Linked DNA regions of Drosophila melanogaster. Each later gene encodes a partner of the first gene's protein in a complex. Each region holds a gene or a part of one and is shown in the gene's direction. Other genes may lie near its edges.

Region 1 (15,659 bases):
AAAAAAAAGAACACACTTGCGCTCGGTCGAAACGAGCAAATATATTTGCTGTGACGGACACAACGACCTCATAACCATTAAAAACAAATTTAGCAATTAGCTCAAAAAAGGTTTTTAAGCATCGCATTGTAATTAATATCCCAGTTAATAGGTAATAATTGTCGGTACGCCCTTTCCTACCCTTTTCTACACCTTTCCTTCCCTATGTGGCCATGTGGATCAATTGGTTTTGACCACAGCAAGAAGAGCATTTCAATTGGCTAATGTAGAACGACAGCTCAATGGAATTGCAGTTTGTGGCCTGTCCCGATGTTGGATCGGTTTTATTTACTCGTACTTCATTGTGTTATATCGTGGGTGTCAAGTTGCTGGCAGGCATTATTATCGATGCCCCAGTCTCTCGCCATTTCAGATGTCCCTGTGTGCTTTTTGATTGATAGACGGACAGAACAGACGGACGGAAGCGGAAGGTTGGGCTGTGCCGGCTTAGAATCGTTGCTGGCATAATAATGCCAAGTGCCAGCGGGCCCAGTTTACCCTCTTGAAATATTCCTCCGTGTGCCATCAGCACTCTGGGTGGCTGTCAGTTGTGTGTTTGTGGTTGGTAGGGGTTGAACCATATTCCATTAACATATTTGTTTTAAGTATAGTGTATAGCTAAGATCGAAGATAGAATCTAGGCCAGATACTATTTAATTAAATGAATCGTAGGTAGTTGAAACACGCATATGACATTTTTCAACTATCGCCTAAAGAATTCGGGTATTCTTTGTTCTTAAAGGTAGATATGTATTCCTATTGTAAGAACCATAGTTATGTTTTTCAATTTATATTTCATTTGTGCATGCTTTGTGGGCCACAGAAAGTGAACCACTCGAGTTGTAGAGAGAGTACCCCTAATGCCACCATTGCCCTGCGTCGGCTGTGCAAACATTTGCATTTGCTTTTAGAGCCAGCGAGCAGCCCGTCCAGACACCAGAATTCAATGTTTATTTAAATGACACCCTTTGGCCCCACATTTGGCGGGGAGTATCATGCTGTTAGATGTTTGTTGCTTATCTAGCCGGACTATCGATTTGCGCTGCCCTGATGTATTAATTAAGATGTACGTTCGCTCTATTTGCAGTTGATTTAGCATAGGATGCTGCCGAGCCTGGATACCTTAATGCGTTGCTCGAAGCGAGTTCTGCAATCGCCGCTGGAGGCGGCGGCCAGCCAGATGCGGAATGGGCACAGCAAGTCGGCCGCCGGGGGCATCTACGGCCCCTTTACGCCGGACAACGATCTCAGCTGCTCGGGACGGGGCGATTGCGTCAACAACACCTGCGTCTGCGACATTCGGTACGCGGGCAACGAGTGCGACATCTTCAATCTGCCCTACTACGCCGGAATCTCCACCGTCTTCTACGTGGTGGCCCTCGTCTCGGTCATCCAGCTGCTCATCTGCATCGTGGCCGAATATCAGCGGCTGAAGCAGCCCTCCGTACTCCGCGCCTGTCGCATCACCACCCAGAAACTGCTCTACTTCATGGTCTTTGTGGCGGCCTCGTTGCGAGGTGCCTACTTCACCACACCCGTGAGTAAACGCAATCCCACTTCGATCGGATCGTTTGATTTCATCAATCTCCTTGCATTTCAGCTGGATCTGCAGCCACAATGGGCTGTCACCCTGATGTCCGCCTACTATCCATTGCTCATGACCTGCGCCTCGCTAATTGTCTGCATGTGGGCCGAGGTGAGTCCACGATAAGCTAGATATTTAAGGAAGGATAAATGAGAATAGAAAATTTCGCTTAATTGTGTACTTTTGAAAATGAAATCTTAATGGTATCAATTAGGACTATGACAGTCATGAGCAAAAGATAAGGTTGTAAACAAGTAAACGTTACTATCTGCAAATATTACATAATAATATACCTCTTCAATTGCATCGAATAGCTTTTGTCCAGTAGTACTATATGTAAGCAAGACCTGCAATATTTCATTTTATTCTCATCCCTAAGCGTCTTTAACACTTAAGATACAGATAACGTTTCCGCGGTGCTACAAACTCTTATAAATTTTGGTGATAAGTTAGAACTTATAGGCAGTATTTCAAGTCACGAGTCCACCACTAACTTAAATATGGCGATTGAACGACAGCCTGACGTAGTCGTATTTGATCGCACCCGAACCCTGAGAACTTTCAGTACTGGGATGTGAATTCCATTATCGAGCAAAGTGCGTCCAATTGTACTTGCCATATTTCGTATCTAACAGATGCGCGATAACGAGTCGAGTGCAATTGTACTCGAGCCAATTTTATTGTGTTTGGCACAACTTATCTTGGGGCCTCCCGATAGGCTGACACAAGTAATTAAGCTGGGTGGCGAGTGTACATACGTATATTAGCACTTGATCTGGAATATAAATAGTAACTGCGGGCGACTTTTAGTGGTAACCAAATCGGCGTGGGTACTCATTCACATTTGCTACGTTCGCCATTGCAGATCTTTCACCTGCGCGACATCCGCTGGGAGAAGTCGCAGTTTCTGTCGAAGAGCTTCCTCGGCTTCGTGGCCTTCAACTTCTTTCTGTACAGCCTGTTTGGCATAGAGGTCTTCAACTCGCTGATCAACGCGGAGCGTCGCGACTACGCCCACATCTTCAACGGATGCTATGCAGTATTACTCCTGATCGTGGTGGTCTTCTTCCTCATCTACGGCGTGGAAGTGTTCTTTAAGCTGCGCGGCGGTTTCGTTTACGACCAGACGGGCAAGATTCTCGGTCCCAGCGAGGCAATTGTGAATGCCTCACAATTGCATCAGTCGCGATTCGGACTGCTGTTTCAGGCCGTGATGCTAATCGTGATTGTGGGCTTTCTGACTTCCGAAACTTTGGGCGACTTCTGGAAGACCAAGTGAGTAGAGGCTTTTAATTAGTTTTGCAGCTGCCAATTTGACAAAAAGCTTTTCTTTTCGCCACCACAAAGGGTTCCAGTTAACTCGCGCAACTGGCATGACATCATTTTTCGCATCGCCGAGATCGGTGTGGCTCTCTGGTTTCCCTGCTGCCTTTGGAACTCGATGGCTCCTGAACAGCTCTGGATTCTAAATCCTCGCAAGCTTCTATCCCGCCAAATTGATCCGTCGATACCCACTCTAAATGCGGAGACCAACAAGCTCTCGCCCGAAGAGGGCCAGTCGTTTTTAACCAAAAAGGATTGCTGGATCTGTTACGACTCCGACAAGCCAGAGCCCCTCATCCAGCCCTGCCGCTGCACTGGCGACGTAAGTTCGGTGCACCACGAGTGTCTCAAGCGCTGGCTGGTGGAGAGCTGCAGCAATTCGGAGGCGCAGTTGTCGTGCAAGGTCTGCGGACATCCCTACGAGATCGAAAAGTCCAAAAAGTAAGTGCCATTTGCAAATAGGGAAATGGGTCACCGCCACATAGCTATCAGTTAGACCATTTTATAACTGATGGTAAATAACTGATAACACGACACTCTATTACAGACTCGAATGGGACAAGGGCTTCACCATTCAGCATTGGTCCAAGACGGTTATATTGATCACCTTGATGTGCGTAACCGGTGCCACCGCCTGGGTGGTGATCCAAATGTACGTTGATCCGCTGGTGCGCGTGATGACAGTGGGCATCGCCGTGCTCATTGGCTATGTGTGCGTCAAGTGTTTGGGCGAGAACACCGTGGTGGCCTATCAGCGGGCCAAAGTTAGCTCAATCAACATCGTGACCAGCTCGGAGATGGAGAAGTTGCACACCATTTGCGAGGAGGTCAGCGCCAGCACCTCCGCAGAGGCGGTTCGGGCGGGAGCTGCGTCCTAAGAGGCTACCACACACATCAGCTGAACCCCCACAGACAAAACATTACTTACTTACTTACCTAGTTTAGCATGCGTTTTGCACAGGTTTTGCTCAATGCTCAATTATTAGTTTACACATCACACGCGAGGTGGGTCCTAGCACCCGCCTTTCTATCCTCAACCGTGTACATAGGTTTAAATCTCTAGCGAGTAGACAAGAAGAGTAGCGAAAAGCGTTTCGATTAACGAGTGAATTTCGTCTCTCAAATTATCATGCAGATTTCCAGAAGCAAAGTGTATTACAAGAAGCCAAATATTACGTAGAATAAGTGTAGGTCAGTATCAATTGCGAAAGCGAAACGGAAACGGAAACAGAAACGAGAACATCCTGAGATTATGATTACGAACGCGTTGCCAAGTAGCCTGAAGAGCGAATAAGCGAGAAGATAGTGCTTAGATGCGCCAGTGAGTCAGTCCCCATGCTGATTTATAGTTTATAGTTTTCTTTTATTTACACCTAAATTATGAAAGCATTTTGATTTCCTTCATTTCATTATCGGTTTCATCCATGGATGCAAACAAGAAGCAAGCAAAACACGAGTACTTGGCGAATATTAAATTAAGCAAACAAGTTTTTAATTTGTACTTGATGGAAATACGTTTCTTATTAACCTTTAAGTTTACTCCTTAAGAAACTGATTTGTATAAGCTGCGCCCATATATACATACACACGAACATATATAATATATATATATAAATTTTATTGTAGTTACTACACAAAATTTGTCAAAGCAAAGAAAAACAAAACAAAATCCACAAAAGGAAAGAATCCAACATACAATTTAAGTTACCATACAATTTTTGTGATAAAACTAACAAATAAAATACAATTTATAAAACGCAAACTGTTTTTTAAGTGTTTTCTAAAAAGGAGTCCATTGTTGTATCCCCACCAGTAAGAATGCATTTCAAGTAGTTTTCGTTTAAGCCTAAACTTTATTTTACACTTATTTACTACAAAATATATGTATTCATAGAGCCGCTTATTATGCGTATTAAAAGCCATGTCAAGTTATGAATAACTTTTTCGCAGCATTAAAGCAGACTATGTTTTCCTACGCTTGTAATTTAAAAAGATCAACAACAAAAGAGGTTAACCCAAATCGCAAAGCGTAAATGCCAGTCGTAACAATCGCAGTGTTAATTTAAATTCACAAAGAATAAGATCCAAGCTGGAGCCAGCCATGCACTTACTGATAAACAACCACTGTGCGTGCACGCAATAAATATTTCATAATATTCAAACAATGGCTCCAACATGTGGTTAATAAACTAGAGAAATTTTGTAGATTACACTGAATTATCCTAAATTTAGACTTAGTTCTTCAGCTTTGGCGACGCTTTGCCTGGTTCAAGCTAAAATTAGAAACAATTCAACTAGTAAGTCCAGAGTTGGCTAACGGGGTTTGAGATGGTTGGTTTGGGTGTCTGTGGATGGGAACGGTTGGTGGGTGAAGCACAGGTTTAAGTGACGACGGCCGATCGCTTGTCACGATTCTTTCCACGTGTTATGGAGCGTGCCTTGAATGCAGCAGCATTCACAAGGTGCTGCAAAAGCAACAAATATAAATATATTAAAATTTGAAGCGAATGTTAACACATTTCAATCAACTTACCCGCTCCAGCTTGGTCGGCTTGACCTTGGCGTTTCCATTGATGCCTGTGTTCGTGGGTCGTGGTCCCAGCTGGAAGATGTCACGGATGAACTCGTTCTCCTGCAGCTGCGAGGTCATCCCGGGACCCATGACAGTGCACATGGCCGAATACTGATGATGGATGGACCAGGAATCTAGTGTCAGCGACTCGGTACCGAAACGAATGCTAATCTCTGGGGAAATGTCCTCCTGCAACGAGATAAAAAAAACTTTAAAATCAGGCTAGGCTACGAGCAAATATTCTAATCTCATTTCGTACGATTTTGAAATGTATCACTATTAGTTTCTCTATCAGATCAAACAGACCAAATTTCTCGTTAAAAAAAAAAAAACTACTAAAAAAAATTGTTTTGGCCAATTAGTTTTGTAGATTTCGTTATCAAGATGATGCTATCAACCTATCAGCACGACTATGTCCCGCCCAGTGCCAAACGGTACGAGTTTCTAACGCGGCCCAGGGGCGCCGAGGCTCACAGTGGTCCGCAGGTCAAGGAGTGCGAATGCGTCGACGAGTCCAAGATCATGATGCCGCCGAACGCGTCTAAGGACTGTGGCGGCGTCGAGTGGACGGGCATAGCGCCAATGGGAAAGCTGGTGGATCCGCGTATCATACCCACCCAGCTGACTCAGGACCAGGTGGACAAGATGGCCTTCTCCGCGGAAACAGATTGCTTTAAGCTGCAACCCAACCGCTTTCTCAAGATCTTACGTACAGTCTACCCGGATCTGTATGAACGCCTGAAGGTCATGCCCAAGGAGGAGCTGAGCCGCAGGCTGGAGACCAACCGTATGAACACCACCTATCAGATCGATTACTGTAACATGAACGAGTACCCGGAGGGTATTTATGAGAGCCTAAAGACGGAGGACGAGTCCAAGAACGCCAACAAGCTGATGAGCGAACGTGGACCCTGCAACGAGTTCCGCTCGAACGTGATGAACGAACTGGAGCGGGAGGCGTCCGCTGGCTACGAGATGTCTAGCGACGAGTGCCAAAAGAACTACAAGCCATTCAAGACCAGCTTCTCGGACTCCTCGCAGACCATCGAATCCGGCAGCAGTTCGCACTGGAACTCCGCCCCGACCACATACCGGAAGGTGCCGACCTTCAGCGAGTACATGGACTCGATAAGCCGGAACGGCTGCGTCATCATGCGCAACAAGTTGCACGATCACTCCAAGTGCTTGGCCAAGTACTGCAAGCACGAGCTCAAGTTCACTTGCACTGACATGAAGTAATCGTCCAAAGACTAGTGCATCTCGAGTCAAATAAATAAATGTAATCCCTATTGTTTAAGCGTAGCACTCGTGCAAATCTTCAACTCACCTCCAGGTATCGCAGCACATCACGGAAGGTGGCACGCTGGGCCTTGCGATCGCGCTTGGCGCGGTACTTATGCGAATCCGTGGCCAGCTGCTTGACGGCCTCCGATAACTCAGCGATGTCATCTTCTAGGAAATCCTCTTCGTGAGCACGTCCCGACTCCAGAATTAAAGCAATGGTCTCGCCAGCGGCCATGCGGACGTCCAAATGTGTAGATTGCAAGAGACCCAAGAACTTCTTAATAGATCTGCAAAGTTTAGTTTAAACAATTATAGCAATGGGTTTGAAAGTTAAATGGAACTTGCTCTTCAAACTTACGGAAACATGTTTTGGCCAGTGGTCATCAACGAAACAAAATCCCCCGAAGGTATAAGTGTTAGTAGAAGCCCCCAGGCGTTCAAGGCCTCCGCATGGAAAGTCCCAGCTTCGGCGGTGACGGATACCGGTGTCTTGTCATCGCCACGCAAATAACTGCCTGCGAAGATGGCCTCGAAGCTCTGCATCAGGTGTACCAACTCCCCAACATCCTCGCAGCCCAGGAAGCTCAACAATCCCACAGCTGTGCAGCACTTGGCACGGGCATCGAAGCCCACGGACTTGTCCTGAACGGTGTTCAACAGGAATTGATTCATCGCCTTGGATATGCCTTCATCCCCGCCCATTTGGAGCACCAGCAGGGGCGCGAGTCGTGCGCCCCACACCTGCTCCTGGCCCTTGCCTCGACGGATGCTCTTCTCCACGAAATCCATCAGGGTCATCTTGCGGTCCTCCACGAAGTCCGGCATGTAGCGGTGCATGAGCAGTTCGCAAATCGCTTGCAGAGCCTGCACACGTGTCTGGGCCGACTTCTCGGTGGCCTGTTCCAGGGCCTTCTCGAACTTCTCCTCGAAACGCTCATTGGCCAGCTCGTCGGTGGCCTCCGAGGATGCGACTTCGGACATATGAGAGTAAACGCTCACATTGTCAAAGGACTCGTCCTCAGAATTGGAGTCATTGGTGCGGCCTGAAAAAGAAATCATTTGGGTAATTAATAAGGTTTTTTTTTGAAGTATTTTGCTATACTCAGCGAGTTTTTCAAGCATAATTCATAAATATTTATTATGCTAATGCGACCTGTGAGCCTTTTTCAACAGCTATCGTTTTGAACAATATGCTTAATTGCACATTTTAGGCATTCAACGAACCCATTGGAATGTAAGCTAAGCATTTTGCAAATGGAAACTCAGTGAATACCAATGTAATGATTATTCTATTTTCAGAACCCCATTTGTATTCCTTGTTAAATGGAGTAAAATATTGGGACCACCCTCATGCAAGTGCCCACATTTCCCTTCAGTAACTGTCAAACCAGCTGAAAAGAGGCATCAAGTTTTGCCGTCTTCGAGCAGCTTTTCATTCAATTGCTTGTGTGCTCATTTAGATGGGGAAATGTATATGTACTGAAATTAGAAATTCAATTACACGCTTTGCCACACAGCAATGACCTTCAAGAAAAACAGCTCGGGAGCCGCAAATGTTGTGCAACAAGTTTTCTATCCATCTTTCGATGTTTCACTTTGTTTGCTGGCCAACTGCGTCGAAGAAAACCCGTCGTAGAGCACAACTTTCATTGTGGCGATTTCCCAGTGCCTGTTTTCAGCTTTCTATTTGGGGCAAGGTAGTTTCCGCCTCGTTTTTTGTGTTTTTTTTTTTTTTGTTTTGCCTTTCACAAAAGCTGCGAGCAAACTACAAACACAAAAGCATGCGGTAACTGCGGGCTAGAAAAACGAATCAAAAGCAGTGGAAAACAGCTGGTTTTGCTTGAAAGTTGTTTGGATTAGATTCGGGCGAGTAAACCATCTGTGTTTTGAGAGCGACTAATGCATAACACAAAGTTGCGTAAGTTTTTAGGTCACCCATGAGGTATATACTTAGATGCGAGGAAAGTTCCCCGAAGAGCCACAACTTCCGCTTCTTTATTTTTAAATTTAATATTTGTAAATGATTGTATGATGAGCCTATAAATACCAATTCGGATATTTAACTATATAAATAGGTACAGCTTGAATAATAACTTAGCATAATAGAGCACTTAAATAGAATACATAATTTGATACGCCCTACGAAAACATACCCACTGATACCCTGCACTGAGGTATTCGGTTATAGGCGTGATTCTGATAAGCTGGCATTGAGCGTACACATATACATATACATATGTGTACGTATGTTTTTCCACGAACAAGTATATTTATATTTATATACAGTTGTGCTCAACATAGAAACAACGCAGAAACTTAAAACCTCCTCCTTTGGTGAAATGCAGCTATTTAACTTTATATTACATAATTTGGAATTTTTGTCAAAATTACTATGGTTATATTGTTATTATTGGTGGGCAAAGCTGTATAAATTTACATATGTATACGTATGTATATATATTTTCAGTGAACCGCTGATTACTTGTTGTTGCGCAGCCAGCTGAGCGCGTGAAGCTTTTGGTGCCAGCACAGCAACAAAACGAAAATAATTATTTCATTTCGAGGGTATTGACAAACAGGTTGCAGGCAGCGAAGCTTCCTTCGTTTGGAAGCCAACGAAATACACCAAACAGTGCACGGTACTCATTAGTCAGTGCATGACTAATGCAAAGGTCAAACGAAAAGCAGCTGTGAAAATTCACCTACCCTCGCCGGCTTTTGTGGGGATATACTATTAAGTCTATTGTTCAGATGTGCGATTTAATTCGTTTATTTTGTAAAAAACAAGAAAACCATGAGGTTAAGATGGTAATTAAACCCAAAATGTTGCTACTAAAGGCAAAATAACTAATTTTAAGCCTATAAAGTCAATTGTTTCAGCTGGAAGTTCACACTCGTATCCAATAGATATATTATACGCATTTGGATACGTTCAACCTCGCATTTTTTTTCTGTGCACACCCACACACTCTCTTTTCTTTGTGACTCACCTCTGCCTGCTGCTGATTTCTTGTTGCGTCGCGGCATGTTGCTGTTGTTTTTGCGTCGTTCAGGTATTTTGCTGTTTGAACTCGACGACGACGTTTTGGTTTCTATTGTTTAGCCTACTGTTTCAAACACAAGGTACGAAACACAAAAAAAACAGATGCTTTGTAGCCGAGTGTCCTTTTCCTGTTCTGGGTCCTCAAAAGGTGGAGAACAGGCGTCGAAGTCTACACAACGGCGAAAATGTCTACACTTTCGTTGCTTTGGCGGCAACTACTGAAACGCACGTGTTGGTTCCGATTTATTGATTTTGATGCTCTAGGTTAGGAAATTAAATTGCGTTCTTGAGCCGAGCTGTCAATTTTTTAATCTTTGTCTTTCTAACCCGAAACGTTGCCGATCAGGACGCACCTATGCAAAAACTTTGGTGCTTCCAATTTTTGGCAATTCTACACGACTGTCTTTGCCGTTTGCAATTGTTCAACTCCGATCGCGATTTTTGCGGCCGTATCTTATATATAGTCTGCTGATTCTGATGGCTCTGCTGCTTGGCGTTGATAATACAAAAATGTCGTACTCCCGTCGACGTTGCAGCAAATTTCATGTTTAATTGCAATGCGTTCACTTTTCTCCGCGCTGGCAGACACTCCCACTCCGCCCTCGGTTCGCAGTTATTGTGAAATCGAATCGAATGCGCTGTCTTTCGATCTCTGGTGCTTCGATTTTGCTATTTCCGATTCGGCCAGTGAAGGCGCTTCGCGGACTTTACGTTGGCAGCTTTCGGAAAGCTCTAAAAATAATGCAAATAATTAAGCACTTAATTCGATTGCTGATTTTTACGAAATGAAAAAGTGAGTGACCGTATGCGCGAACGTTGGAAAATACCATGAATAGCGGTATATTCAATGGAAGATGGAAGTCTGCGCTCATGCGATAGTTGACTTTCGATAAAGCCTATACCTATAATTATACTATACCTATACTATACCTATTATACCCTACTATACCTATATTTACCTATAATTAAATGTGGCTGGAAATAAATAAAACTAAATAATCTTACTTTATAAATTCATTGATTGGTCCTATGCTTTTCCGCAAAATACTAATTTATAATTTTATTTATGGACAATAAAAACTTCTTATTTTTGTTTAAATCGCGATATTCGCGCTCACAAAAATATCATCTCCACTCTGCACCTGTATCGATACTTTCGTTGCAGCCCTGCGCCACCCGCACACATGCACACCTACACACTCACACGTACGCGCTCAGCGATTTGCAGAGAGAGTTTTCGGGTTTTTGTTTAGTTTTATTTGATTGCAACTCGATTGGAACGACAGCGGTTGGCGCAGCACACAACAATTCCTCAGCGAGGTCGATAAGAACGGGGGCCAAACTAAGAAAAAGCTCCAGCCGACTCGATTCGATTCGAAGCTCAGAAGATTGGACTTCAGAACTCGAACTTTGGCACCACAGCAGCGCATCCACGAACGTCGCACCCAAAAATTCATGAATGCCCAGCAGCGGATTTGGACTCGGATTCGGAATCGGAATCAATAGCGAACGACAACAACAAAAGGGGGAGCCGAAAGTGGGGTTTGCAACACCGCGGATTGCACACAATAATTAGGTAATTTGTAAGCGACGTTCACCTGGACAAGGTGAACTTGGCACCGCCTCTATATGGCAGCCTTCGTACCTGTGTATCTTATCGATCGAGTGCCCTGGCTAATCGCGGGATAATCTTGCAGGTATGGCGGCGATTGAGGAGCGTTTCCAGGCGGCAGTCAATGTGATAAAGGGTCTGCCCAAAAATGGCCCCTACCAGCCCAGCACCAGCATGATGCTCAAGTTCTACGGGCTGTTCAAACAGGCCACCGAGGGTAGACCAGATGTGGACAAGAAGCCCGGCTTTTGGGACATCGTAGGCAAGGCCAAGTGGCAGGCATGGAACGATAACCGTCACTTGACCAAGGAGGAGGCGATGCAGCGCTATGTGGAGAGCCTGCAGGAGATCATTGAGACCATGTCGTTCACGGAGAATGTGCAGAACTTTGTGGGCAGCCTCGATAGTCTGGGAAACATCAGCCTGGACGAACTGGAGCTGGTCTCGCCCGGCATGAAGGAGCTGGCCGAGTCGCATCCCAACTCGCCGTTCCACTCGCGCACCAACAGTCCCCAGCACGGCTCCAGTTGTAATGGCGAACCGGAGCCGGAACCTCAGGCGACTAGCACCGCACCGCTGGCCACATCCGAAACGATTAAGGAGAATGGCCATAGTTCGCCGCCACTGACCAATGGCTATGGACCTAAGCCAACAGCAAGCTACACACAACATGACACGCACAACTTTACGAGCAACAGCAGCGTGGCCATCGTGGATCCCTCGGACGATGAGTACGACGATCCCTACGATCTCAGCCACGAGCTGACCCAGGCGATTGGCCAGAACACGGACCTGCTGCGTCAAATCCAGGCTGCTATCACACGGATGAACAGCGATGTGGGCGCAGTGCAGCAGCGCGTTCGCAGCCTGGAGCAGTCGCTCAACGAACTTCGCAGCGGCCAAAAGGCAGCGAAAGGAACGGTGGCGCAGCCACGATCACTGCCCGCCTGGTGGCCCTTCAGGAACATCTCCCCGCTCTGGTTTGCCGTCCTCATCCTGTGGCCTTTCCTGGTGAGGCGGTTCGCGCGGATGCTTCAGTCCAATCCGCAGCGCAGGCACTGACGCAGGAAAGCTATACTTGCGGAGGGCGGAACATGTGGTAGTTAAATTGTAAGTACAACGCAACTAGACAAAGGCATATGTTACCATTCCCACTTTATATTTGAGACGTATTCCCGCAGTCAAGAGAATTTAAGAGCATAGGGAACCTGTTTCGTAGCGAAAGCTTTTACATCATACATTATTTTGTACATATTTGCATTTCATTAACATATTCAAGGTAACGATCTCTATGCGAACTCAGATTGTGGAATATATCTTGTGAGTATTTGGGCAAGGGAAAGTGCTCAAGCATCCACTGTTTAAACTAATTATCAGTAACATGTGTTTCCAATTATTAGTTTAAATGAATGGTCACTATTACAAATAACTTTATACTGTTTGTGCCACCAAAATTAATCCAATGTAAACATTTTCCTTTCAGTTATCTTCGGTTACGGGCACGAGCTTGGTCTTTAGCTTTCTTCTATCCTAGAAAGCGCTTCAGTTATTGTACAGAGTTGGCCTTATTTATACCTTACTTACCCCCATGGTTATCCAGTTGCAATATCTCTACCCCCTTTTGTACACGTCTATATATGTATATTGAATGTATATTTATTTCGTACACACAAATCGCGACCTTTTTGTCACATTCCCCATCTGATTTAGTTCGTAAGTCGAATGTTTTGGCAATTTTGTCCAGCAGAAGGCGAGTTTTAGCCACCTGAAAGCGCCGATCTACTGAAAATACGGTTGTAAGCGTATACTTTATTGTGCATTATTTGTTGTTAATTATAATTTTTGTAATAAAGCAAAAAAAAAGTGAGAGCGCACGCTTGTCATCCATTAGGGCTGTGGAGTGATCCGCAGGTAACTCTTTCCGGAGGGCAGCTCAATGGTTTCGATACCATCAGGAAAGAGCTTAGGAACATCTTCGGCTTTGACGGTGGGCAAGACCATGCACTTGCCGCCCTGTTTCCAATCCGCCGGCGTCGCGACACTCTTTGTTTGGGTCAACTGGAGCGAGTCGATCACTCGAAGGATTTCACTGCAAAGGATATAGTTAAATGTAATTTGTCGGATTAATTGACCTTGAAATCGTTCCTATTTAACTTCCATTATTATATGCAAGGTTAGTACTTAGTTTTCAGCAATAATACTTCATTAAATAATTATCTGCTAATGCGATTAAGTGCACGATTGTTTGCTAAAGTGCATTACAGCATTACTTTATAGATAATGATGAATGCTAGATATTGGAATACCCACTCAAAGTTGCGCCCAGTGGTGGCAGGATACAGGATGGACAGGCGAAGCTTCTTCTTGTCGTCCACCACGAAAACGGCGCGACAGGTGAGGGGAATGCCCTCGGCATTGATCTCGTCCTTGTCCAGCATATTAAACTTGAGCGCCAGTTCCCTTTTGTCGTCCGCAATGATGGGATAGTCAAAGGAGCTCAGCTCTGCGAACAGAAACGCCAATTAGAAGCGATTCCTGTCCAGAAATCAGTGACCAAACCCACTGCCAAAGCTCTTGATGTCCTCGATCCAACCCTTGTGCGACTCCACGGTGTCGCAGGACAGTGCAATTGGCTTGACTCCACGCTTTTGGAATTCCGGAATCAATGCCGCCACCCGGGACAATTCCGTGGTGCAAACCGGCGTAAAATCCGCCGGATGGGAGAACAGAATGGCCCAGCTGTCCTGCATCCAGTCGTAGAAATCGATTCGACCCTCGCTGGTCTCAGCCGTGAAGTTTGGGAACTGATCGCCAATGTTTAAAGCCTTTCCGGACATGGTGGATATTTGAAAAAATCAAGAGACGAATTACGAGCTTTTTGGATAAATGCGAAACAAAATTTGCCGCAAAATGCAAATCAGCTGACTGGGCTAGGGTGCCCGTTACCTTTATAAGCTCAGCTCGACCAGGGATGCAAATATAAAAAGAACTAGTTTTCGTATGAAGATGTTAAAAAGAAGGCTCATTGTGTGCATTCATTTTGCAATCATTTCCTTTAAGTGTTTTAAATCTAAAGTATTTTCTTTGACACAAGCAAACGAGTGTTTCGTATATTTTCGAATTTATGAGCTCAAAAAGTGAACCAGTGAACCGAACCACTTACACGTGCTTGCATCCCTGGCCATTACTCATACACACGCACACTATATCACACATACGCGCAGTGTAAACACAAAAAAAGCTGAGAATTTCTTGCATTTATTTGTTTAAATTGAGCAAAGAGGATATAACCATGACAGAACTGAGCATCACTGGCCAGCAGGTGATGCCCCCGCCCGCATGCACACCACCGGAGCCCTTCCGCATCACAACGAACGCCCCGCACCAGATGAACGATGCCAGTTTGACGCCGGGACGCAGGAAGCTCCAGAAGTGGCTGGGTCGAGTTCTTCGGATCGTGATTACGGACGGACGCGTGCTGGTGGGATTCTTCAACTGCACGGACCGCGACGCCAACATCGTGCTGTCCATGTGCGCCGAGTACTTGGTGGAGGGCCAGGAGCCGCGCCTGCTGGGCAACGTCATGGTTCCCGGCCAGCACATAGTCTCCCTAAGCATCGACGAGCCGGATCCGCAGTCCAGCCTGCTGGTGCAATAGTGTGCATGTGTTTTGAATAAAATAAACTAGCTATTTGAAATTTAAGTACGTTTAATTTTTATTTTTGGATGGGGTTATAGTAAACCCCTCCACACTACGCCCCTGCGTCGATCAGCTGTTTGATAAGCCACTGCCGCGTTGCCAACCATCGCGCAGATGAATCAGCTGTGCTCGATTGGATTCACTGAGTTATTTGTTTGCTCGCAGCACTATTCCTGCCAATTAATAGAGTTAATCAAGCGAAACAGCGCGCCGAAGAGGATCTGCCAGCCACCCGATACTCATTCAATTGAGCCCAATCAGCGATGGACTTCACGACCTTCGTAAAGCCCTCAAATGGCGGTGGCGACAGCGGCGGTGGTGGTGATGCGGATGGCGGCGGCCAGAAGCTGCAGTTCTGGAAGCATGTGGAGTACATCGAGAACCATGGGAAGCAGGAGGACGACTACGAGTACTGCATGACCGAGTTTCTGCGCATGTCGGGCATCTATTGGGGCACCACTGCCCTGGACATTATGGGCCAGCTGGAGCGATTGGAGCGCA
Region 2 (17,566 bases), on another chromosome or scaffold:
CATTTCTGCCTACTCTAAAATCAAAAGAAGTAAAATTGAATAAATATATGTCAGCCCGACGGCTGCCTTCAACTAAAAACGGACTTGTGTTCTGAATTGGAGTTCATCATTACACGATCCTTGACGACGATCCTGGCGTGAGAACTCGATGGGCCTGCGAGCAAACAATGAATGCCAGAAGTCGGGTCCGTTTGCACCTTATATAGCCAGCGGATCGCGGCGAGAGAGTGTATATGGAATCGGATTCGGATTCGCAATCGCAATCGGATCGGTCTAAGCGCAGAGCCCCGCACGCCGGCTGTTCATTCGCGACTGAGAGAGGCGCTGGATGGAGCCAGCGGTTGCCGGTCGAATCCATCGGTCACATAGCGGTCTATTTGTTCAGTTATAGGCCAAAGAGAGCGGATCGTGACTGGTTTGCGCTCTCTTGGGCCACCGAGCCAAGCGACCGGCGACCAGTCGGCAGCCGCTTCCTGGACTTTCCAAGATGGGCCTTTCCCCGTCGGCACTTCCGACGTTGAGGAGGGCGTTGTGTTTGTGGTCTGCGGTCAGCGGTTCTCGACATTTCCCTCTTGTCTCGCTTTTTATTTATTTTTTTTTAGCAAAAGTAAGGCGAAAAACCAAACTGGTTAGAACTGTGCTGGCTATCAAGGTCAGTTGGCCAGGTTGGATCGGCTAAAGGAGCCCGCTTGTCCACCAGGAAGGTATCAGTCGTACTTTTCCATTCTTTTCAGGTTTTTCAGATTTACGATCTCGAATCTAGTCATTTCAAACAATAGAAATCCTAAGCGTATTAATTTTGATTCCAGGCAGTAATTTCTAGCAGTGAATTTTTGGATTATTATGCACAGTGTATGTGTGTATGCACCAGCTATTTTCGCATTAGCGGCCACGGGGCGTATGAGTGATGTTACAGCGCGGAATGCTTGAGTAGCCCTTCAAGAATACGGAGTAAACAACAAGTCGAGAGGCACACCCCCGAAATATTAGCCGCAATTAAAACCCACATGGCGTATGCGTACTATTCCCCCCGCAGTGAATGATCTTTCCACGGCGGACTGCCCGATCCTCCCGCGCTGTTTTTGTTTACTTTCCGCTCGCAGCTGTCGCGTATTTTATTTTCTTCTGTTTCTGTGTTTCTTTTTCTTTTTCTTTTTCATTTTATTTGATTTTATTTTATTTTGTTTTGGCCGTGCAAACGAGCAAAGCGGAGCGCACGCCGCTGGCTCAATTAAAATGCGACAAAAGAAAGAAACACAACGCCATTGTGGAGGAGGTGGAGGTGGAGGTGGAGGTCTCTCCCAGAAATCGGTGGACACGGGGATCGGTGAATCGTCGGAACGGCGGGGGCATGTGTATATTTACATTCTTCGCCGTGCGGTTTGTTTAGTTTGGCGCGCGCTCTCCCAATTATCACCCATGAATATGAATATCTATCTCTATTTCTCCGGCTCTTTAGTTCGAATATTACGGAATTATTCCGGCCATTAACTCCCGCGATTGTTTCGTCGAAAATCTGGCTGATTTCGAATGTATTTTGCCTATGGATTATTCAGGCGGTCATAAAAACAGACCGCAATTAGCGGACAAAAAATGCAAATTGTCAACGAAACTGTTTATCATGCACAATCGCTGGAAACTTTTCATGGATAATTTTGTTTACAAAATTTATTATTTTGTCGGCCGCTCACTCAGTCACGTTTCTGTCTCTTTTTGTTTTGGGAAACTCGTTTCTGGTCGTCAGACCAACAGACGATCTCCTCTGACACTCAGATATGGAGCACTAAATTTATCTCAATTGCCCAGAGACGCGCCTCTTCGCATTGTTTGGGCTCCAAGATGCAAGATGACTCAGTTCTGGGTGACTGGGTGCAGGTGCAATTGGCGGGTATTTATACTTGGAACCACACTTGGAGGTATATCCGGTGGGTGAGTAAAGGAGGCGACGCGTTTGGATCGAGGAACCCATACTTAGGCGGTTATTTTCGACTTAATAGGTGCGGGTAGTTCAGTACCCTTGCACTCGAATCCAAAGCGTCGCTTTCGTTCAGCGAGTCATGCTCCTAATGAATCGCAATAGGTCTTAAATCTCGAATCATAAACGACGATCGCTGATTGAGCTGCCAAAATTGTCGAACGGCTGCAAAACGGGTTTGCACATTCTGTGGGGTCTGCGGATTATGCACACCGATATCGGACTAAGTGACAGATACAAATGTTTTGCGGCACCATAACTTAGTTACGCGCATAAGTTAAGTACGCGGCCAGTCGCGGGTAATTACTCAATCAGTCAGTGAAGTGAATAGAGCTCAATCGCATAAAGTGTTGATGGTGTAATTACATTGAATGCTTTGATTTGATTTAGCTTGATTTCCGAGCGGAAATACCAGTGTTGCAAAGGAGCCTAGTAGGTACTCAAGTATGGCACCCACTGCGGCCCACAGTGCGAATGAGTGATATTGCGGCGCGATTACTTCAAAGTGCTGAGCTGCCCGCCGTCATCGCCTCGTTGCGATTTGTTTGCATGCGGATAATTAAAATCACATTAACGCCGTTTAGCTGAGCAGCAAGATGGTTGGCAATTTGTGGTTGCAATCACAATGATTGAATGTTTGTCAAAATGCTTGAACTCTCTCTCAATCACTGGTCACTTTCGCAAAGAACTAGGCTTAGTTTGAAACACTTGAATATCAGTTGAACTCGATCGGATCAAGGTCCCATGCAAATCCGCACCAGGTGCCAGTGCACGGGTCATTTATCAGCATTAATAGACTGCTCGGGCATTACTTAACAATTATTTAAGGAACACGCCAAGTCGATTAAGATACGATAGCCGCGATAGTGGGCGTCCTCTACTAATTTATATGCTAACTAGGCAATGCAAGCCAGGGGATCTGTCTTAAGTTAAATAAATGAGTTATCAAATTAAATTGTCATGTTAAAAGTCATGCGTTGCAGATATGATGGCTCTCATGAGTGACAATAAAATGAATTAACTCAACTTTAATAGATTGTTTAATATTAAATATGATTAAATGAATATCATTACTTTATACATAGATATGGGTTTTTTAAGGGGTTTCTTAATACCCAAAGTAGAGTCCTCGTCCTCTTCTAAAGTCACTTGCTTCCACCACACAATTATTTACTTTTAATTAATCAATATTAATAGTTTCTCCTGCTACAGATTAAATGCATTCGGAATGCTTACACGTGTAAGAGTAGTTTGAATATGCAAATACTCGCAGAACTCACATTCAATGCTTTTCACCTGCGCGGCGGAATCGAGACATACCCACAATTAGTTGCCGCTGTCATATAAATCACAACTTTTCATTTACATTCGCCATAAATCATTCGAATTGTTCGCCGTGGGATCGATCGGTGGAATCAGTTTTGGTGATTGGACCATAAACCTGGCAGCTTTGTCACCAGCTTTTCCGACAGTTGCCACAAGCCGGAACCGATTTCCTACGCCTGGGCTTGGACACTCGGCCCATGGCCACAGGTGGAGCTGGGAGCTGGGAGCTGGCCAACTTGTGGCAGAACGTGACTGGAAACAGCGAAGGGGGAGGGGGGCACTGGCCAGAGGCTTTGAAAGTTTGATTCAACTTAATAGAGTTAAAAGCCGCCTAATCGGATTAGCCGCTCCTCCGCCGTGGCCCCCACTCCAATCCATTGCCATCGAATGAGGCACTAGCTCCGCTTGTCTGGCTGCCCGGATCTGCAGTGGTGGGTGGAGCATTTAAAAGGTTGTCAAGTAAAAGGGGTATGCTCGATCGAAGAAGCAAAAATGTTATATGAAAAATTTAGCTAGATATATTAATAGGTATTCCTTGGCTCGAAATAAAAATCTTAGATATGCAAATCTACACTAAATTGTCTGTCAACAAACACTGTAACTAAATAGATAAGCATAGTACATAGTAACAACCCAAGATTTATGATTTTTTTATTGGCAAGATATTGCTACATGAAGTTAATTATATAGAAATACAAATTTCCATAAATGTAGTCTCTACACTGAACTTTTTGAGCATGTGAAAAATGTATAAAATCTATAAAATGATAAGTTGCTGTGTTGCAAGGGTATACTTTTGAGGCTGAGTACGAACTAGTCGATCAGTTGGCTTCAAGCTCTAAAATCCATCTATTGTGCAGACTAATGCGGCATTCTAAACACATTAGAACTAATCTGCTGCTATCTGCGAAAAGTGCACGAGTGGCAAACTCAATTGTTTGAGCTGGTGAAACGGAAACGATGCAAATGGACTATCGGGCAATTCACACCAGTCATATATGAGAGCTTGAATGAGTTCACTTGAATTCATTTGAGTTCCACGCAAATTGCTCGCTTAATTCCACATCGGAAATGTCGCTTGGGCGATGCATTTCGTTTCCATAAGCGATTCAGTACCATCTGCAAATTACCCATTTAAGTTGTAAATTGCATTTTGCCCATTTCAGCAGCAAACTTCATTTAAATTCATCACGGGCCCGGGTAATTTCCTCACATTTTGCATCCTGCCACCGCTGAAAGGATGTCTGAAATCCCGACCAATTCAATCCGGGCTAGTTACCATTGAAATGCAAATCCCAGCCAGGCGGCGGATAATGTCTGCCATCTGCTGGGGCGCAAACCTAGCGAAAAGGATTCAAAGGATCTGCTGTTGTTGCAAGCAACAGTGAACAATAAGCTTTGGCCTCATCCTCCAATCTGGCTGGCGCATATACATTCGCAACACTCGCACTTACCGCCCTCCTTCTTTTCATCCAGGCAACGGATGCAACGCCAACGACATTGCGCATACGCCATGTGCGCCGAGCCGAACAAACACTGAGAAACACGGGTAAATCACACTCTGTGCGCTTATCAATTCATTGGATTTTTCGTTAATCATTGTGAAATAACATCGTACTTGAACTGTTTAATTTCCTTATCAACAATGTGTTTGCAAAGCTCTTGTGCTAAGATAGTTACTATATTAGGTTCTTATCACATCCCACAAGAGTTTGAAGACCCTCGTAAAAGAGCTAGAACTATATATTAGTTTAGATAAACATCTCTGCTTTTGCTCAGTGCACAAAGAACGCACGGCAGCGCAAATTGCTGGCAGGAAGCCAAGCGAAATCCGTGCACCAGTGCACAGGCATCATCATCACCACTGCCACCGCCACAGCCATCGTGATTATACTGAATCCTGCAGGCTGGGGGAGGCAGCCTCCCCATCCCGGTCGACTGCCTGGAGCAACAGAACCCAGTGAAGGAGCAACAGCGGGAACAGAAGCAGCAACGGCAACAAGCTGACACTTTGACAATGTTGGCGCCATTTTGCTGTTTGTCTTTCCTCTTGTAATAAAACGACATCCTCGACTGAGGATGCTCAATGGGATTCGGAGTGGCGGAGGGGGTCTGAAGTCTGAGGGCTGAAGGCTGAAGGGTGTTTTAAACACTTGGGCGACTCGGGAGTGCGGAGTCCGGAGTGGCGTGCTCCTTCACAACGTAATCATCGTGGAAGGGCTTTGGTGCGGCACGTAGTCAGGACGCTTTGTCAGTTGCCCGGGGCGGCGTCTGTGTAGTCAGCACTTTGCTCGACTTTTGTTGACAGATTGATTTTGATGTGTTTTCATTGTTATTGTTTGGCTGAGGGTCCTTTAAAGCGAATCTGGGGGCATGGGCCGTCGCTGTGCTGATTTGGGGCATCAACGGCGCTGGAAGAGGCAACAAACCTTTTAGCCTAATTGGTTGGCTCTTGAATCGCTTTGACTAATTGACAAAGGCTTTTCCGTGGGCTTACGGACTTAATGAACTCCCTGAATGGTCCTGGACCTGGAATATTCATGGAGTTTCATTTATTTAATTGAATGAGAAATGACCCTCCATAATTTAGCGGGGCAAATCGGAAAATAGGGGAAAAACGGCAAAACTTTTTCACCTCTTGCATCCAGTTGGGTCAGGGAAATCTATTGTATCAAATACAGAGTTTTCCGCATTTTACTCATTGCTTGTTTGCCTCGGCGGGTCAGCTACAGTGCAGCCTCGCTAGCTTCGACTTTAAGGATAAGATCCTTCGGTCTTGTGTGCTGTGCCATGTAGATATAAGGTGCATTTTTAGTATTAATTGGATTTATCCAAACCATCTTACTAGAGACTAGTTGGAGCCATCAAGGCCACTCTGTAATTAAATCCAATTAAGTCAGGCGTGCCGGTCGGCCAGTCAGCTTTATTGGAGCGCATTGAAAAGCCACAAAACCGTGCGGCAGGGGCATCGAATGGAATGAAATCCAATCAAATCGATAAAAAATGCTGTATAAAAGTCGAGAGTTCGAGGGCGACGAGGAGTACAGCAGGACTCCTCCTGCTGCCTGATGCTGGGAATTTCTGCTTTTTCCTCCATTGCCTGCCTGCGGCGTTGCTCATACGCCACGTTGCCCCCAAATCAATTGAAATAAATAGGATACACATGGCTCGCAGTCCTGTGTGTGTGTGTGTGTGTGCGAGTGTGTGATTTGGTGGACGTGGAAAGCAGTTGCTTCTCACATATTTGCTTTTCCCGCGGCACAGGGACCGAGATTTTCATTGCCCGTGTGCCGTTTGCTGGTATTTCATTTATTTGTCTGCTTGTTATTGGCAGCTCAGTCGTGCGTGTGGGCCACGATTAAATTTGGTCAATTGTCACGCCCTGCGGTGGACTGCCCCTTGGGGGTCGAAGACTTAAAGCCGCCCCACGATTTTGCCTTGACAACGGGTTGAGCCACAAACAAGTTCCCGGATCGATGTGGCCAACACTCCACTTCTGCCGGCGCAATTGCCAGCACGAAATGCTGGAAAGTTTTGTTCGATTGATAAGAAGGATGGTCTTTTTCTTCGCCGCTGATAAGGAACGCTATCTTATCTGGAGGGCCAGCACTTCAAACAATATGTATGCCTTGTCAGGCATAGAATCACCCCAGTCGGTCGGTGGGGTAATTAAGCTGAGCTAAGTTGTCTTTGGCATGCTACAATTTATGCTCAGCACTTGTTATGGCTCATTTCTAGCACTAATCCGTCCACTTTTTCATTAACAAATATGTGAGGTACCCACATGTCGCTTTTTGCCAGCGTCAACACATCTGTGTTTTCATTTAAACTATTTGATTTGGTCGCCTGCCAAAAAATTTAAGTTTTCGCTGTTCGCATTTAATTAGGACGTGTGTGCCGTTTGGGAAACACTACGTTCCGATGTCCGACATCTATACATATGAATTCAGATATAGTTTATAGTGAGTGTTTCGTATTTTATTCTCGGCGAACTTGAAATGGAAAACATTTGGCGGCGGCGTAAATGTCACAGCTGGATTCTAAAATAAAAATGTATTTTTGTCGGCAACTTACGCGTGAAATTGGCTAATAAGTGGGCCTAATGCGCCGCCTCCTTCGATTTGGATACCACGAAGCGTTAAATTTCGGAATTTGTGTTGGAGACTTTCGCCCGATTCGTTCCGATTCGACCGACCAAGTGAACCGTTAGCACGTTTTTGAAATGATGATGCCCAGCTTTTGCAGGCTTGAGAATCTTATATGTACTCGAATGCTAGGGAGGTGGAATTCTTCTCGCGATTTGGGACCAACGTTTTCGTGTTATTTTTTAATGGCCAACGATAACACATTGAAATGCAATGAGCAAATGAGCGTTGCTTAAATAGTTCGCCGGTCGAACTCAAAAACTCAGTCGCTTCCAATCCCAATCTCTCTGCCCATCCGTTCTGCGTTCTGCTCATTCATTGAGTGGGTTTCCTCCTCGGGCTACCAAGTTCTCTCTGCAGACTACTCAATGTCAGCGGAGGAAGTAATCAGTGGATTTAAGTGGGGATTTAAGGGAATCGCATTCGAATAAGTTATATAAATTAATATACTAAGGGGATAACATTTTTAACACAATCAAATATGTTGCATAACTCCAGGCGCTTTCTTGGCAAGCAATGTAATTATTTTTAAATAAATCACGAAATTACCACTTTTAAAGAAATCAAATAACATATTCAAAATATCTTAAAAGTCTTAAAATATTTAAACTTATATTCCATCTAAAAGTTTTAATAAATACATAAATGAATGTATTGATAAGAAGAATCCACTGTTTATGGGAACATTGTAACCTTCCGTTTAAATGAGCGTTCTGATTTGAGTAAATCGCCACTAGCAAGAGAGATTTGGGAGCCGAGGCAGAGAAAGATTGTGATTTGGGGAGAGCGAGCGAGTGAAAGTGGGGCCTCCGTGGTAAACAAACCAATCCAACCCCTCGGGCTCAGCTCCCACTCGCAACTTGGATACTTGTAACACTCGGGGTGGCGGTCAACCCCAAAATCCGTGGGGCGGGCGTTGCGCCGCGTTGCTCGAAATCCGGAGTGAAACCGCGGAGTGAAAGCGCAAGCGAGCTTTTCCGTTTCCGATAACAGCGGGAACAAACGCGTCTGATAAGGTTGTAGAATGCCTCGGTTCAAGGCATACTTTATTTGCTTTAGTCAAATCGGAGCAAACATAATTAAGTGAGACTAAAGAGAGCTCGTGCTTTGATCCGTGTTTTTTGAACCGCGGAACTGTTCTGTTCGGTCTAGGCGGTCGTCTGGGTCTCAGATAACGCTGGCTTGCACTTTCAGTCATTTTGTTTAGTTAATGGGCCAGCCGCAGTCCAATGAACTAAGCTTTGCTTGTTTACTTCAATTTTCACCTGACTCAGCATTTGAACTTGGTAACAGTTGTAACGGTCGTGGCTGTTAAGCTTAACAGTGCAGCTTAAAAGCCACCAAGGCTCCAAGTTCCACATTTTGAATGCTAACTCACTTGTTTTATGGGTAACTTACAGAAATTCTAAGCTGAAATCATGGGAAAACATAAAAGCACCACATAAATCTTTGCTGACTTTCTTTTAAATGCTTTCAAAACATCCCAAATTAAAACAGTACACTGTTAACTTCGCCAGTGCTGCCAAGTTGGATGTTGGCGGGCTGAAAAATACTGAAGGCATTTATGCTTATACCTATTTAAGACTGTATCAATGAACTACTCTTCTTTAAATTAATGAACTGTTCTATAGATTTCTAATAATCATATAGCCATTGATTATCTCCGCAAAATCAAAAATGAACTTAGAAATAGAAAATTATGACTTGTTTGGTACCAAGAGGTATATTTGCAACATAGAGGCATGGCTGACCGTTCGTCACTTGGTCACACTGGACGTTACATATTTTAATTCATTAAAAATATCTTTTATAAATAAAAGAAAATTTGTAACACATCGAGCTACAGGTTGACCGCCTGTTGAATATAGGTACAAAAGATGTATCCCTCGACCTTGCCGGCGGAGGCAGATCCGAGCACCATGAACGGAAGGTGAGCAACAGACCACCGGCAAGAACCCACAGACGTGCCTACATACAGAGCATAACCATCTAAATGCACATACATACGCATATCCACAGCAGCGTTGCAGAGCCTCCGGACTTCCAGGCTGCCACGGCGGCCGCGGCGGCAGCTGCCCGGGCCAGTAGCTTGGAACAGGACGAGTGGAGCGTGGGCGAGTGCGGATTTCTGGATCCGGATGTGCAGCGCACCATGCGGAGCGGCAGTGCTGCGGAGGACATCACCCAGTACCCGATGCACGGCTGGGTGGACGTAACCAAGGAGTTCCACGATGCCTGCGCGGAGCTGCAGCCCGGGGAACTGGCCCAGGATATGCTGTTCGGTCTTTTTGAGGCCATGTCAGCCATCGAGATCATGGACCCCAAGATGGACGTGGGCATGGGCTTCGACAAGCAGGATCTTCCGCCGCCCTCTTTCGAGGCAGCCATTGCCGTGAGATTTGTCTTTCTGACCCCTGGCTAAGCTATATGTATCTTAATAGATGACTCTTTCCAGACGGGCGCCATCAAACTGGACGATCTCACGCCCTCCGAACTGATTGGCATCTATGATGCTCTGTTTTCCTGCCTGGTGTCCTGGCTGGAGGGCAACTCCATGGACCAGGTTCTATTCACCTGCCTCTACCTGCACGCTCCCGCACAGATCAAGGATAAGGCGCTGCGCGTCTTCTGCACTGCCGTGCGCAATCTCATCGTGGTCATCAAGAAAATTATTGCCGTGGCAGCTGTCAACGAGGAGGAGGACTTCCAGCTGTACGGAAATTCTGCTCTTCTGGCTGCAGAGAAGGCACAGCCAGCCACTGTTTATAGCTCGCTAAAGGATGTGGAGGATGAGCTCATACGCAAGTGCAAAAAGCTGACTTCCACGGAGGACTGGATGGCCGTGGTTCACCGGCTGCGTTTCATGCGCCATCTTTTCCAGGTGATCTACCACGTGGAGCAAATGGCCAGCAATGATACCGTCGATGACAAGGTAGACATATACAAAATCCTGCTTGTGGCCTCCGAGATGCTTCCAGGAATAAGGAACACTTTGGATCGGGGCACACAACCAGAGAAGGGGTGTAAGTGGTCACAGATAACTTGCCAATGTAAATGCTGAGTATTTCCTTCTAAATCACTAGCTGACGCTCCCAATCCCATGGGTTTCTCTCCGCGCATCCACGACCGCAGCCAACCGCCCGCGTTTCCGCGTAGCATTAAGATCAGGGATCGTCCATCCAGTTATCAGTTTCTAGAGGAAATGATTTCGCGCTTCAAATACGCCTGCAAAGTCACCAAGTACAAGGATTACTATTCGGCGCTGGTAAGTGACTTTTTAAGTGACTTCTAAAATAAATTGTAATAACATCCTGGCTTTCCAGAACTTCTTTATCGAGTACAGCAAAAAGTCGGGCCAGTGCATCCTGTCCAGAAGCGTGCTGCAAACCCTGTTCAGCGCCAACATGCGTATGGCGCACGGAAAGCTTCCCATGAAGCAGTTCCTGCGCCACTCGGTTCAGGTCTTCAACTCGCCACCCGTATTGAATGCCAAGCATCCGGTGGCTGCCGATCCCAAGGTGCAGCAGCACCTGGAGAACTTCTTCCGTTACTGCATTAACATGAACACCTTCACGCAGTTCATTCGCATCTGCGGCTTCAATCGCGCCAGACAGCGGGATAAGCTGGCGCGTCTGATAGAGAACTTCGACACCATCCAAGTGGATGCAGCGCGATTGGACTCTATGATGAACCAACTGGCCAACGAACGAGCCATGGAGGGCAACGAGCCCATGGCCACCGCTCTGAAGCACAGCACCCACTTCTCCACATGGGTGCTGTACAACTGTTTCCGTGCGATGCTGATCTTCCTGATGTCCGGCTTTGAGCTGGAACTATATGCTGTGCATGAGTTCCTCTACATCTACTGGTATCCATACGAGTTCCTCATTGGCTTCCTGGTCTCCGCGCTGACGCGCACGGAGAACATCCTCCTGGCCCAGGAGGAGTACGCCGAGCACCAAAGTAAGACCCAGTCGGGCGGCAGCGGAGCGGCTAAAAACCGCAAGGCGGCCAAGCCGAAAAAGAACAAAAAGACTCAAAGGCCGTACCGCGCCGAGATCGTCTTCTACCACGCGCTACTCAGCCTCTGCGGCGGAATGTATAAAGCAATGGGCGCCCTGACCAAAGACGGACGCGTGCGACTGCCGCTGTCCAAGTTCGACAACGAGGAGATCCGCTACAACCGACGCTTCCTGCCCTTCGCCACACTCACCAGTCCTCCGCCAGTTTCGTACGCAGAGTTCAAAAACGTCCGGGAGCACATGATGCGACATAGCGTCGAGGATCTATATACCTATGCGGCCAAGCACTTTGACCAGGCCCGCAATGTTCTCGAAAGCATTCAAAACCCAGATCAGGAGGTAAGTCAATGGTAGTTCTGAATTGGTTTTCCTGGATTAAAATGCGTTTCGTTTAATTTCAGATGCTGGACCTCCTGCAAATCGCACGGACTAACTTTGTGGTGATGAATGTGCTGGCTCGCGGTCACCAGAAGGAAGTCAAGCGGCAGCCAGAGTTCGACTTCTCCAAACACAGCTACTTCCCCATCATCAAGCTGAAGTAAATGTTCACGTGTTTCGTAATTGACAAGAATAAAATTTAAATGTACGCATTTTAATGTCAACTCTGATCCTCCGCCACAATGTCCTGCTTGATGAGAAGCTCCTCCACGTAGCCGTCGATGGGGCAGCTTTTGGCGCAAGTGTAGACGGCCAGGACGCCCCAGTCGAGGTTTTCGTCCTCCAGAAGAGTCAGCGCTTGCGGCATAATCTGAAATTCGAACTGACGCTCTCCTCCGCAAGCAATGCAATTGGGCAGCTTGTTAAGTTGGTCCTCCACCGTTTTGACGGTATTCGTGATCCAGAGGGGCTGGCCTCCACGTTTGTAGCGCACGATCTGATCGGGTTCGGCTGCTGTTTGCTTTTTGAACTGACGAAAGGTCTTGTCATCGGCGGCCGCCGAGTTTCCGAAGTACTTGTCCATCTCCGCCTCGGAAACATTGCTCAAGTCGCCCGTCTTCCCGCTGGACTCCAGCTCCTGGAACTCCGCCAAGCGAGCCTCATCGTCCTTGTCCTCCTCGCCAGACTCCACGGGGTTGCTGTCCATTACAATCTCAAATTCTGGGAAAACGATTTGTGTTAAGGGCTTCTCAGTGGCTACTTCTGGTGCTCCGCAGTTTGGCTTGTGTTGTGGCCAGTGGGCCCTTTGATGCTCTGGTGAGCAGTAGTGGATTGCCTTGCATTTGCTGCAGGCGTGAGGAGCATGGCAACCGCAGGCGGCGCATAGTTTCTTTAGGCAGGGAACGGCGGGCTAAGAAAACATATTATGATGAGTATGTTCTGAAAATATGGCTGCTGTTCCTACCAGGGGTTGACCCACGTCGCTCGGCTCCTCCTCCGAAAAGAACTTATTTTTTCGCGGCAACTGTGACCTGAGGACTGTGAAATTGCTGGAAAGATGGGTAAGATTAGGTTGCAAGTTGGTTTTCAGAGCTAGAAGGGATTACCTTGCATTTTGGGCCTCCTGGCAGTCGGAATTCCGGCACAGGAACACATAGATGGACCGATGAAAGTTGTACTCGTCTTCGAAGGGAGCGTATAGCTGAGCCAGGAAGGATTTGGGTGCCCTGCACTTGCTGCACTGCAGCTGCGACGTGGGCGGCAAGGCCTCCAGTTCCAGCCATGCGGGCTGGCCTCCCAGCTTGCTGGGAAAGTAGCGGTTGCTCAGCCAGGCGCCATTGTCGCTCTTTTCCGCAAATCCCAAGTCAATCTCCATTTCTTTCAATCTCCGAAACGAAACTCGTGTTCAGTGTGACCGCAGCGGGAGCGCCAGAAAATACCTCTACAAATTCCGAAATAACGTTGTATAATAACTGATATTTTCGGGGAATCACACTTTTTGGGTGTTATAATTTAAAATTTAAATTAATTACATTCGTTTAATTTGTTGATTTCGGCAGTTCAATAAAATAAAATATTCTTTTCTTCATTGAATATTTGCGATTACTCTTATAAACATAAGGGGGAAACATAAGATTTTAATTTAATGACATTAATCTGGAAGAATAACAAATCTCATTATCCTGAGCCCTTAAAAATGGCAAGCGGTTCAAAATTATAGAGCGAGGATTAATCAGATAAGGCCCCTCTTCTACGCCACTGATAATAAAGCTTGCATGCCATGGATTTGGTATTTTCCGCGAGTTCCTCCATGGCGATTTCCCAGATTTTGGCCACTTCAGTATGCGGTTATTTCTCACGGTTAAAAGTTCTGCTCTCCGAGTTGATTAAACTGGCTAAAGTGATATTTTATTTACTGTTGTGATAAACGCGTGTGAAAAACAAAGACTTTCCATTGCCCGCGGACACAAACGATCACGAACCGAAGAGTGAACCGCTCAGAAACGGGGGGAAAACCAGTTTTCCCACGATTTGATGTGATTGTGAAAGCGCAACGAGATTTGTCAACGCAAACAAGCAAGAAGAAGAGCCCGTGGATAGCGTAATATTTGTTAATAATAACGGCTGCAAAAACAACAACATTGCGGAAGCAGAATCTCCGACTTGTCGCGTTTCCGTCGCAGCAGCGCTAAAAATAAACCCACCCACGCACCGCCCCCTCTCGAATCGCCAACCACCCACTCCCGCCCACCATCCACCTACCACCACCTTCCGCCCACACCCACGCACGAATTTGGAGAGGTGAACTTGTGTTGACTTTTCCAGCGCGCGGACTTTTCCGAAGAAAAATGCAAAAATGAGAGCCGAGCCACCAGCGGACCACTGGGAATTTGCGTAAGTCCAAGGCGGATGCTTCCTGGTTTCGAATTACAGGGTATCACGTGCGCTGCTGCGAGCTAGTGAACAAGAAGGCACCAGATGTTTGATGGAGTGCACATAGAGAAAAGTTTGTGTAGGAACTATTAGGTGTCCGGTACAGGGTATCTCCGCTTCGATGCCCCTGGCAGTGGCTCGCTTTCTGGCTGCCAAAGAACGAGCCGGGTGAGCTTTTATTTGCTAAATTTAGTGCCGCATTGCTGAAAATAAGAATGGGAGCACCCTGCCATCGGTTGCCGGTAGGCAGACTCATATATATGTATATGTATATGCATAATCGCCCCTGACGGCCAGTGTGTGGTTCGGTGGATCTTTGTCCAGGGCACATGGCCCGAAACTGTTGCATGGCCCATCCTCGTCCTGGCCAATCGATGCCTTCGATGCCGACTTCGACTTGGAGTGCTGCCTGAATCAATAAACGCCTCAAATCCCTGCCATATTGCGTCCATTGTAATGTCAGCACATAAATTCTCTGCCCATCGAGGGGCATTTTCACTCGGCTGCAGGCATTCGGTAGTGGTATGTACGCTATGTGTCCTGGCCAGGCAATAAATATTGAAAATTCAATTAGCAGACGGACGGGCAGCCGAAATGCTATGAATTTATCACCACCTGAGTGCGAATGTGCCTGTGGTACTCATAGTAAATAAGTAACTTCATTGCCATTCGGCCCACTCCACTTGCTCCACCTGCATGCTGGCTATTGATTTTAATCCGCCCTGCAATCATCTTGCTTCATTTGGCCGCTGAATTTATGGGTTCCCACGAAAGCTCCACTTTCTTCGGCCCGCTTTCCCATTTCCCCCACTTCACATTCCCATTCCCACCAACAATGTGTGCTGTTTCGGCGCTGGAAAACATTAATTAAAATTCACTGGACTGGGAAAGCTATCAGTTGCATGCATATTCAATTGATTCATTATTACAGGACATCATACATGTAATGCTCAGCTCATTAATCGGTTGACAGTGCGTTCCTTCGACTGACTGTTTAAATTCCCATTTCAATATTGTTGTTAACTAGTAGTATGTATGTACGTACATATGTACATATGCTTATGTACGACTTGAACCCAAGCAACTAAATAGGAAATTGTCAGTATGTGTAGCGTCGAAATTATTGCATAAGTAAATAAATTATAGAGGATGAGAAGGGAAGTCAGTTTATGTGGCTTGCATAAGTTTGTTTTGATATATTTGATAATTATACGCTTATCACTGCCAATGTTGTTCTCTCCGCACACCGCGTTTATTCGACTCCTCTTGTCACCACTTCGCCGTTTGCTCAGTTGCACTACACTTGTTTATCCACGCCCGCCTTGCTGCTCATTCGCATTCTGATTGGAGCGCCGAACGCCAAGTGAGTCACTCCCCAAGGTTGCTCAGCGTAGTGCCTCTCCGGTGTTCTCAGTATCGAATGCCAAAGGCCAATGGACGATCTCTGGCTCCACGATAGCCGATATCAATATCGAGTTAGCCAGTCAAGTGGCTCGGTTCTCCGGCTGGCGAGGGGGGAGATAAGGGCAAGCGATGCAATCGCGAGGCTTCTGGGTTCCTATCGAGCACTTGTGGGCTTTCCTTCGGGTCAGCGAGCAGATGATACCCAGTTGGGAGTAGTATTTGCCAGGTAAAGCTCATAGATAGTAAAGGGCTGGAGCTTGCTTTCCGGTTATCTATTATCATCACAACAAGTGAGCTCCATTATTGCGCTCACTTTATTTACTCTACTTATTTTCGCGTATATTAGGTAAGCCTGGAAATTGTACATGATTAGCATTTCTGACCTTATGACTCACCGAAGCAAAGCTACGAGCAGCCCCACATTTAGTTGATTTCTATACAATTCGCTATCTTTTATTTCAAAAATAAACCTTAGATTAGATACGCCTTTGCAAATAAACAAAGTATGCTGCAGAGTCTTCCTGGATCTCCACCTAGCAATCATAATAAAGGGCTTCCAGTTGGTTTGAAACCCCATAGATGGACTCTACTTAGTGTTTGGTCATGGTGATAGTTTTAGCTTTGTAATTTCTATTAACAAAAAAAAATTTGTATTTATTGTAAACGAAATCCCCTGAAACAGCTTTTCTCCCAGCCAATGAATCAGCTTCCACTGCATCGGGGAGCACAGTAGACGTAATCACAAGTGAGCTTTTTGTTGTCAACTGTTTTTGTCCGCGAGGGGCAAGTACTGGTTGCTTAGGTGCTCCGCTGGCTGGGAGGAAACTGATAAGGACTCGGGAATGCCACTATCGATGACGGGCCCCAATGGAGCCTATTGTTTGCTCTTATCTGTCCAGTTATTGTTACTCCATTCGAGCCCAGTTGGTTGTTTATTTGTTTGTTTGCTGCATGCCGCGACGGCGTGCGTCATGCGGGGAAGGATGTGATTCTGGTGATTCATGCCAGAGAAGTGCATCCCCACCCAACCCCTGGTGGAAAATCAATAGCCATGGTGGCGCGCTCTGGGCTCTCGAGATGTTCGCCGTAGTGTAACCTTGTGTTCTTGTTTTGCAGGAGCCGGAGGCGCCTTGAATGAGAGTCCTTAGCCCGAGATGTCGGATTTCGTGCCGCACGACCTCATCCCCGATCTGTGGGATGAGATTCTCCGGCGCCACTGGATGTTTCTCGAGACGGAGGAGAGCATAGAGAAGCTCGAGGAACGCAAGCAGCTGGAGGGTGAGTTCGCCGCCTTGTCCTTGTCCTAAATGGAAATGGAACTAATCAATCCGCGCTTACAGGCTGCCTGAAGGAGTTCCTCTGCGTGGTGCAGCACGATCGCAAGTTCTTTCTGCCGGAAACTGGGCATGTCCTGCGGAGGTCTGTGCTCGAGCTGCCCGACTTTTCGGCCCAGAACGCCATCGTAGCCTTCGAGACCATCAGCCAGTATGCCAACAATCTGTTTACGAAGCCATGGCGAAAGGAGTATCGAACTCTCAAGGTGGATATAGGATGATGACGTATACTAAATAGCCACTTCTAACTGAATAATCCTCCTTTCTGCAGACCTATTCGGGATGCTTTCAGCACGACATCCAATCCCGCCTGCTGGACGCCGAACAGCTCTTCCTGGCCATGGGCTATCGCCGGGCTGCCGAGGACACCTTCGTCCTCGAGGGTCCCATCTGTCCGGATCAGGTTACGAATGTTTCGCGCGACGCAATGGCCGCCTACGTGGAGTGCCAGATTATGAAGCACATCTACGCGGGAGTGACGGCAGCGGGATACGTCTGCACTTGGAAGGACATCCTACAGTTCCGCGAGCGTTACGTGGGTGGAACTTC

Evidence for each region.
Region 2: Sbat (region 1) and Naa35 share a complex: the UniProt entries of both Drosophila melanogaster proteins name them as parts of the N-terminal acetyltransferase C (NatC) complex.

What each region holds. Positions count from the first base shown.
Region 1 is NT_033779.5:2,863,843-2,879,501, forward strand, and holds Sbat (sabbat), read left to right. Parts: upstream 1-14,501; 5' UTR 14,502-14,750; coding exon 14,751-15,116; 3' UTR 15,117-15,159; downstream 15,160-15,659. Other genes in the region: CG2991 (uncharacterized protein), read left to right, coding at 1,142-1,576, 1,640-1,735, 2,490-2,899, 2,972-3,388, 3,495-3,825; Ifrd1 (Interferon-related developmental regulator 1), read right to left, coding at 5,329-5,412, 5,481-5,708, 6,847-7,090, 7,162-7,846, 9,794-9,830; CG8813 (uncharacterized protein), read left to right, coding at 5,904-6,758; CG8814 (uncharacterized protein), read left to right, coding at 11,546-12,520; Prx6a (peroxiredoxin 6a), read right to left, coding at 13,346-13,547, 13,769-13,961, 14,022-14,295; RabGGTb (Rab geranylgeranyltransferase subunit beta), read left to right, coding at 15,422-15,659. UniProt on the Drosophila melanogaster protein: Auxiliary component of the N-terminal acetyltransferase C (NatC) complex which catalyzes acetylation of N-terminal methionine residues. May have an accessory function in the survival motor neuron (SMN) complex.
Region 2 is NT_033778.4:24,129,671-24,147,236, reverse strand, and holds Naa35 (N(alpha)-acetyltransferase 35), read left to right. Parts: upstream 1-9,186; 5' UTR 9,187-9,323; coding exon 9,324-9,376; intron 9,377-9,465; coding exon 9,466-9,838; intron 9,839-9,901; coding exon 9,902-10,469; intron 10,470-10,529; coding exon 10,530-10,711; intron 10,712-10,769; coding exon 10,770-11,807; intron 11,808-11,831; exon of another isoform or gene 11,832-11,869; coding exon 11,870-12,010; 3' UTR 12,011-12,057; downstream 12,058-17,566. Other genes in the region: Zfrp8 (zinc finger protein RP-8), read right to left, coding at 12,067-12,756, 12,811-12,895, 12,953-13,221; tamo, read left to right, coding at 16,838-16,961, 17,024-17,223, 17,289-17,566. UniProt on the Drosophila melanogaster protein: Auxillary component of the N-terminal acetyltransferase C (NatC) complex which catalyzes acetylation of N-terminal methionine residues.